Arabidopsis thaliana: one gene and its partner. The protein of the gene in region 1 interacts with the protein of each later gene in a pairwise test. Each region holds a gene or a part of one and is shown in the gene's direction. Other genes may lie near its edges.

What was found.
Region 2: the proteins of PROT1 (region 1) and AT5G03545 interact in a protein complementation assay, tested with the Arabidopsis thaliana proteins (one large-scale study listed by BioGRID).

Annotation. Positions count from the first base shown.
Region 1 is NC_003071.7:16,653,826-16,659,007, forward strand, and holds PROT1 (proline transporter 1), read left to right. Parts: upstream 1-1,751; 5' UTR 1,752-2,196; coding exon 2,197-2,296; intron 2,297-2,522; exon of another isoform or gene 2,523-2,667; coding exon 2,668-2,892; intron 2,893-2,970; coding exon 2,971-3,065; intron 3,066-3,146; coding exon 3,147-3,336; intron 3,337-3,430; coding exon 3,431-3,555; intron 3,556-3,699; coding exon 3,700-3,915; intron 3,916-3,999; coding exon 4,000-4,377; 3' UTR 4,378-4,587; downstream 4,588-5,182.
Region 2 is NC_003076.8:892,865-896,176, forward strand, and holds AT5G03545 (expressed in response to phosphate starvation protein), read left to right. Parts: upstream 1-1,717; 5' UTR 1,718-2,182; coding exon 2,183-2,395; 3' UTR 2,396-2,653; downstream 2,654-3,312. Other genes in the region: EXO70A1 (exocyst subunit exo70 family protein A1), read left to right, coding at 6-206, 308-407, 497-597, 690-836, 935-1,052; AT5G03550 (MATH domain/coiled-coil protein), read right to left, coding at 2,949-3,281.

The DNA of each region.
Region 1 (5,182 bases):
CTTTCTCTTTCTTTTCGGTGTTAAAAGTAATTCAAAGTTTGCTTATAGAATATTCTAGACTTTGTTGTTGTGAAGTGACCTTGAAACTAATTGCGTCCACAGCAGTAAGACTCCTTTATGGTCCATTATTAAGGCACTTCACAGCATCTAGGGTATAAACGAGATATACTTATTCCTAAGTAATTTCTCAACTATCATATAGAAAGGAACGTTTGTTTTATGCATGTTAATATTACTACCAAGTACCAACATCTAAAGCGGTAACTCAACTGCACGAGTGTATGATCAATACAATATCAGTAATATTAGCCAAATCACAATTTTTGCCTTAAATGATACAGGCTTTTGTAACCATGTAAAACTTTTTTTTGGAACTTAACTCAATCTAAAATTGTCATGAATATGTTCTTTTTTCTTCAAAAACAATATTCATCTAGAACCCCACTTGGAACAAAAACTACTGTTAAAGAAAAGGAAACTTCACTATAGTCGACAACTCGATATCCACATCTAAATACTTATTTATAATTATTTTATTGATTGGTAATCTATTTGTATTATATTCTCTGCAAAGAATTTTGTTTTGTGTCATGGTCAGTGAGTGGCATATGATTTCAGTAAACACAAGTCACTTATTATGCAATCATGTACAGATTGATTCAAAACATATCCGTTAATTAATTTGAACAGTTGGAGATGTATAAAGTCTGAGTTGGTACTTCCAAATGGTTTAAGATTTATAGGAAGTTGTGTCCTTTCTGGCTTCTGCCATTAACCTCAGCCAATAGACTGTAACTTGCATGGCTCCGCCTCCAATCAACTTGCTCTCTAGAATATGTTGTACTATTAAATTAAACAATATATCGATAAATTCGATGAAAATCCCAACTGTAATTTTTTCTCATAGTATCAATTTTAAACTTTACTGTATTTTCTAAAGGCAAAAGAACTTTCTATTATAGATAAAAAAAAAATATTAAAATTGTGTAAAAGAGAATGTATTGAAGTTTTAAATGATCGAGAGTCAAAGACATTATCATTTGACTAGAGACTAAAGATGCACATTCTGTAAGATGTTAACTTAGGTATAAACTTTTTTTTTAAGTGTGATGTAGAAGTTTTCCACGCATATCGATCAGCTTAACCTTTTATTTAAACTATAAAACAAATCACTATCAATAGTTTTACTTAACGTGTTTCCTTCTCCATATCAAACTTATATAAATAATCTAAGAAAAACCATAAAAGCCAAGTACAAACGTATATAAATCGGGTATTTCTCAACCTAGATATATTTTGGTAAAGTATTAAGAAAACAAAACTGTATCCAAAATTGGTAGCTTGAGAATAACATATAACTAAATTAATATCGTAAAGATTGAGAAGATCATCACTTACAAACATTCAACAAGGTAGCTTCGACAACAACACAAATCTAATGTGTTTAGATGGTTCCATATTTTTAAATAAAAAATCAGTTTGCAAAACAAACAATTAGTACTAAAATAGTTTGTTTTTTTCTCACTTAAAATCCATATTTCCCTAGTTCACGTACATTTTCATTTATTATTCGTCAGCAAAATTATTATATCTTCTTGAAATGATGAATTCAAATAAAATAAGCAAAACTTGGCAAAGACTCAAAATAGCACAACTAGACAAAAATACCAGCTAACAGAAAGTAATAAGAAAAAACTCAAATAAATGGAAAGACATTAATAAGGCAGATATATGTTTTTTTATATTATAAATTGTTTTTTTTTATAGTATAAAAATAAAAATATCGGCATTCTTATAGGATCGATCTCTCATGCAAAACAACAAATTCAGACAAGAAACCTCAACGGCTCAGACCCACCAATACCAATTTTTTAAAGAGATTTCTGTCACAAGTAAGAAAGAAGCACTAATTACAAAAAAAAAGAAAAAGAATCAATCTTTTGTTCTTCGATTCGATTTCTAATCAATTAGATTGTTTTTGTTTTGTTTAACATCAGTTGCGAATCGAGCTGGATTCTTGGGCTCGCTTTTTCTTTCAATCAAAAGTTTCGATATTAGTGAAGGATAAAATTCGCTAAAAAAAGAGAATTTTTTTTGTTAAAAAAATTATAAAAGCTGGCTTTCTCAAAATTTCTCCATGTGGTCGACGAAGAAGACGAAGAAGACGAAGAAGAAAGAGAAAGTCTCTTAGCAAACATGACCGCCACCGAAGCTAAGAATCGCAAAATCAATGTCGGAGATGGAGATGACGTTGTTGATATCGAAATCCCTGACACTGCTCATCAAATTAGCAGCGGTTTGTTTTTCTCTGTTCCAATTGTTGTTTTGTTTTTCAATCTGGTTTCGATAAGAATGTGTTTGCTTAGATGTGTCGAAAAAAGTTTTGTTTTTTTTAAATGTACGGAGATTGTTTCCCCAATTTCAATTTCTTTAATGCTTTTTTTGATTAAAATATGAAAATGGTATCACCAGGAAGAAGAAGTAGAATCTGACTACTTCAAAATGTTGACTTTGATGATTTTAACGATGACCCTTTTGAAAAAATGTTTTCTTTAATGATCCTGGAACCATAAGATTGGGAAATTTTCTTGCTTTGCCAAAACTCTGCTTTCTATAAACTGAGATCATGTTTTGGGAAGCTTATACTATGTTTTGTGGAATGTGCAGATTCATGGTTTCAGGTGGCGTTCGTTTTGACCACCGGTATAAACAGCGCGTATGTGTTGGGATATTCAGGAACAATTATGGTTCCTTTAGGTTGGATTGGTGGTGTGGTTGGTCTTCTTATTGCTACTGCAATCTCTCTTTATGCAAACACTCTAATAGCTAAGCTTCATGAGTTTGGTGGCAGAAGACACATTCGCTATAGAGACCTTGCTGGATTCATTTACGGTAAATAAAAGACCAAACCAGCTCTCTTAATCTCTTCTCTGTTGTTACCTTCATTGGAATGATCTCTCTTTTTATCAGGTAGGAAGGCTTATCATCTTACATGGGGATTGCAATATGTTAATCTTTTCATGATTAATTGTGGATTCATTATCCTAGCTGGTTCCGCCTTAAAGGTAGTAAAACATTTTCTTCTCTTGATTCTTGATTTCGTTAGACGAGTTAGTTAATTTTGGTTGTGTGTTCTGTTTCTGCAGGCTGTTTATGTGCTTTTCAGGGATGATCATACCATGAAACTACCTCATTTTATAGCCATTGCTGGTTTGATTTGTGCGATTTTCGCTATTGGGATTCCTCATTTATCGGCTCTTGGGGTCTGGCTTGGAGTTTCGACCTTCCTCAGTCTCATCTATATTGTTGTGGCAATCGTGCTATCGGTTAGAGATGGTATAACTAATCAAATGATCATCAAGATTCAACATTACTAATGAGTTTAACTACTGCAAAAATCTAATTCTTGCTTTGTTTTGTTTGTTTCTAGGAGTAAAAACACCTTCAAGAGATTACGAGATACAAGGATCATCATTGAGCAAACTTTTTACCATCACAGGAGCAGCCGCAAATCTGGTTTTCGCATTCAACACCGGGATGCTTCCAGAAATTCAGGTGACTTTTCCCTAGACTTCAAAGTTCAATTGTTTGTTTGTGTTTGCTTTTATGTATTAGTGTACCTTTTGTTCAAGTAAAACCTGCATCTTAAACAAAGTTTGTTTGTTAATCATATTGACACTATAATTTCCACAATGTTAGGCAACAGTGAGGCAACCAGTTGTTAAAAACATGATGAAGGCTCTATACTTTCAATTCACAGCGGGTGTTTTACCGATGTACGCAGTTACATTCATCGGATATTGGGCTTATGGATCCTCAACCTCGACCTATCTACTAAACAGTGTTAATGGCCCACTCTGGGTCAAAGCCCTTGCTAACGTCTCTGCTATCCTTCAATCTGTTATCTCTTTGCACGTAAGTTTCTTAGCGCCAAGTCTACGCTTTTTTAACAAAGACTGTCGTCTCTAACTATATGTCTGACTCAATTCTTTGTTGTAGATATTTGCGAGTCCAACATATGAGTACATGGACACAAAGTATGGGATCAAAGGAAACCCATTTGCGATAAAGAACCTGCTGTTTAGGATCATGGCGAGAGGCGGGTACATAGCGGTAAGCACGCTTATCTCAGCGCTGTTGCCGTTCCTCGGTGACTTCATGAGCCTAACTGGTGCAGTGAGCACATTCCCTCTCACATTCATTCTAGCCAACCACATGTACTATAAGGCAAAGAACAATAAGCTGAATGCTATGCAAAAGCTATGGCATTGGCTTAACGTTGTCTTCTTTAGTTTGATGTCTGTTGCTGCAGCCATTGCAGCTGTCAGACTCATCGCCGTTGATTCCAAAAATTTCCATGTTTTTGCAGATTTGTAATTCATTATATTATATAGTCAATTGTGTATCCTTTATTCTTAGGCAGGTTTATTTCTCCTGTAAGCTTGTATTCTCTCTCTATTTGTCTTACCATTAGAGCCTAAATAAATAAATCAAGTTCTAAAATCTAAAAAGCATATAAAAGACCACTTTCATCATAATCATTCTGAAAATTTACCAACAAAGAATACTAAGTTGCATGATTAAAGTCTCTATTAGAAATGTAAATCATAGTATTAGAGAAGAACATAAAAACACCTAACTTAAAAAAACCTTAATTTAGTGAGATAGAGAAGAGAAGAAACAGAATTGTTGTTGGTTTAACAAAAACCTAATCTTTCAATGATTAGCTGTTTAATTTGAAATTATAACAATAATTTAGACAGGCCAAAGTGGAACCCCACTGTCTCCACCAAAGCTCTAGATAAAAAAAAAAAAACGAAAGCGTTAGATATTTTTTATCAATCGTGCTCCGTAATCATTACCTTTCTTCTTCATCTTCATCTTCACGCAGCGACTTCTTTGATTCTCTCTTTTTATTCTCAGCTCCAATTTCAACCTGCATTTCTCTCTTCTCAATTTTGGGTTTCTTTTTTTGATATCTCATTTGATCAGATCGACGAAGAGGTAACCATTTTGCCGTTTGTTAGTTCTTAACGATTTTATTCTGTTAAAAATCAGATTTTTTTTTGCAATGCTTGTAGAAAAAGATTCGATTTTTGTGTACTGATTGAATCAAAATATGTGGTTATGGATCCATGGATTGATTTGTTTGAACTGATGCAAATGGCTAATGTGAAAAGTC
Region 2 (3,312 bases), on another chromosome or scaffold:
GTCAGCTACCAAACAACATTGAAGCAACTTTTCTTGGAATTTGGAAATGGAGATGACTCAAATTCGCAGCTAGCATCCGTAACGATGCGGATAATGCAGGCGCTTCAAAACAACTTGGACGGAAAATCGAAACAGTACAAAGATCCTGCATTGACACACTTGTTCCTGATGAACAACATTCATTACATGGTCAGATCTGTGCGCAGGTATATTATTTTTCTCGTTTAAACTTTAAAGGCTGATCTGGTTTTATTAAAAAAATAAAAGAACGCACTCATTTAGCTTTATTCATATGATAATTTTTCAGGTCAGAAGCCAAGGATTTGTTAGGCGATGATTGGGTTCAAAGACATAGGCGTATCGTGCAGCAACATGCAAACCAATACAAAAGAGTTGCCTGGACAAAGGTTCTGTCTATTTGTCTAACTCTGTAAAGAAACACTATTATATAAAATTTCATTAAATTGTTACTAAGAAACTGTTACATATTTTGTAGATACTACAAAGCTCATCGGCGCAAGGTTTGACCTCATCTGGGGGAGGAAGTTTAGAGGGAGGAAACAGCAGTGGAGTTTCAAGAGGATTATTAAAAGAGAGGTAAGTCCTAAACATGTAAAATAAACACAGTAATTGGCAAATGTTTATATATTTGGTAATGATGATAAATCTGTAAAAAAAAAATGGAACAGGTTCAAGATGTTCAATATGCAGTTTGATGAGTTGCATCAGAGACAATCGCAATGGACAGTTCCAGACACAGAGTTAAGAGAGTCACTAAGACTTGCTGTTGCTGAAGTATTATTGCCTGCTTATAGATCATTCCTCAAACGCTTTGGGTAAAAATCTCCTTTCTCTCTTTACTGCGAAGGCTTTTCTAATATTTGATTGAAATGTAAAAAAACCTAAATGAGATTTTAACCTATGATCGATGCAGGCCTTTGGTTGAGAGTGGGAAGAATCCTCAGAAATACATAAAGTATACAGCTGAAGATCTTGAAAGATTGTTGGGTGAGTTGTTTGAAGGAAAGTCTATGAATGAACCACGCCGGTAAAAAAACAACTAAAAGATGATGAAAACTAATTGTGTAAGGTAAATTTCTATCAAACTCTTCTTTTTTTTGGCTTACCTTACATAACTAGGTTCGTTGCTATTGTATATGCAGTGTCAACTTTTCGTTTTTTGTATTCTACTATTCTTTGGTTGGAATGAGAATGTGTAAATTACTTGGAGACAGAGTTGTTTCCTTTTGTATACGTTAAACGTTTTGAAATAACCATGGCCTAATAAGTCTAATCTCAACTCACAAGGATATGAAATCTTTTTTCTTAGAATGAAATTAATCGGAAATCAAAATCCTAGGCGTAATTTATAAAAAAAAATATGCAGTGAAGGAGCTAAGTTATAAGTTGATATGATTGACAATTGCTTTGAGACGAGCTTTGGTACTAAAGATCGAGCCAATAATATTTGTCCGAACAGCTGAACTAAGCTTGGGGACAAGATTGTCATGCGGATCAATTCTGTTATTTTCTTAATGGATTTTAGGTGATTAATCAGTTGTTATTGAACAGAACAAGACAGATAGAGCTCTACCGACTTGCATACTTAAATGAAAGAAATATGATTTATTAGTAAAATAAAGAGTGATGAGATGGTTTTGTTGTTTTAAAACACACATGTTTGGTAATTGGCATATTCCTTTTAGAAGATCCAAATTCTCCCAACATCTTTACATGGACTTCCCCATTTCCATCATCTCCTTCCACTTTTTTCCCAAAATAATATAAAAAAATGATAATTTGAATCGATGTAATGAGTGTATTCAACCTCTTGTATAATTTGTCTCCATGACCAAAGACAAAGAGAGAAGCCATAAAAACCCTAACAACATCCATTGTTGAAACTCTCTTTGGCACAACACCAAACACACAAAATATGGCCATCCCCTAAAGAAACTGAAGCTCAAGAACCCTCTGAATCTATCAGAAGATCTCACCAATAAAGGGTTTTGAGAGGTTCAAGTTTCTCTTTATGGGATGGCCCCAAACACAAGAGTACTCACAAAAGGTAAGAAGAAGAAGAGATCTCTTGGAGATTATGATTGTGAATGTTCGTGTGTGGGTGTTGTGTAAATGATCATCATCATCATCATCATCATTATCCAATATCATAATTATCAATATGGTGATGATGATGATGATGAGGATTGTGTGTGAATGGAGCGATGAAGATTGCATGAAGGTTGATGAAGACAAGCTTGATGTGTCTTTTGTTATCCCTCGTTTGGGCAACTTCGATCCTTTGGCAAGCTTCGGTTCCCCTCGGAATCAGCAGATTATGATTACTATAGCTCTTATATGTTTATGTTCCGTGTTTACTTTGTTTCCGGTTTAGTTTGGTTTATTGTCTTTAATTTCGTCATGTTTGTGTTGAATGTGTGTTGTTGTTATCCCGTGTGATGCACCATTCAGGTGTGTTCCTATGTGTGTGTGAGGAATAAAAGAATATTCGGTTTTGATATCTAAAATCAAACCCCACTTCTACCTTTCATTAATAGTGAGTGTCTTCAAACAATTTTGTTTTAGCAATCTGTGTATACCTTTATCAAAAATACTTTTAAGCTGGCCCATTCTTAGCCCATTAATAGTCCAGTTTTAGCCAATTGAAATCGGGTAAATTTAAACACATTCATTCTTCTAATATGAGCATCTATGAAGAAACCCAAGAGAGCCCTAATCAAACCGTGTCTGACAAGCTATTAAATAAAAAGTCGTATAAAGTAAAACAAACTAGAAAACCTACTACAGAAAACGTAGGGGTATCTAATTATGTTTTTTTCCGAATAATACATGATTATTGTTTCTAGATAAACAATCCATAATAATAATATTAAAAAAAAAAAAAGATTAGATAACCCTAAATAACCATTATGTTATTCTAAAGTGTTTTAGAAAAAATTAAAATATAGTCGCCCATCTTTTGTTGCGTGTATCCAGCTTGGTTGCTTCTTCAACTTCTTCTTCTCCTTTTTCCTCTCACTATTGAGATCAGTCGCAGTCATCACGAGTTTCTTGACCTCTAGTTTGAGTTCCAGAATCCGTTCTTCAGAAGTCTTCTTCTCCAAGGAAACCATGTCAAGCTTTGACTGCAACCAATCCAGGTTAAAACCGGCTTGTGTCAGATCACACATATCCTTTGAAGCTTTGCTCAATTCTGCTTCGGTGAGATAACCAAGAGGCGTGTGGTAAAGTATCCCGATGATGTCGCAGAGAAGGTTCATTTAAGTATTCCTGAGAGCTTGGTTTTGCACT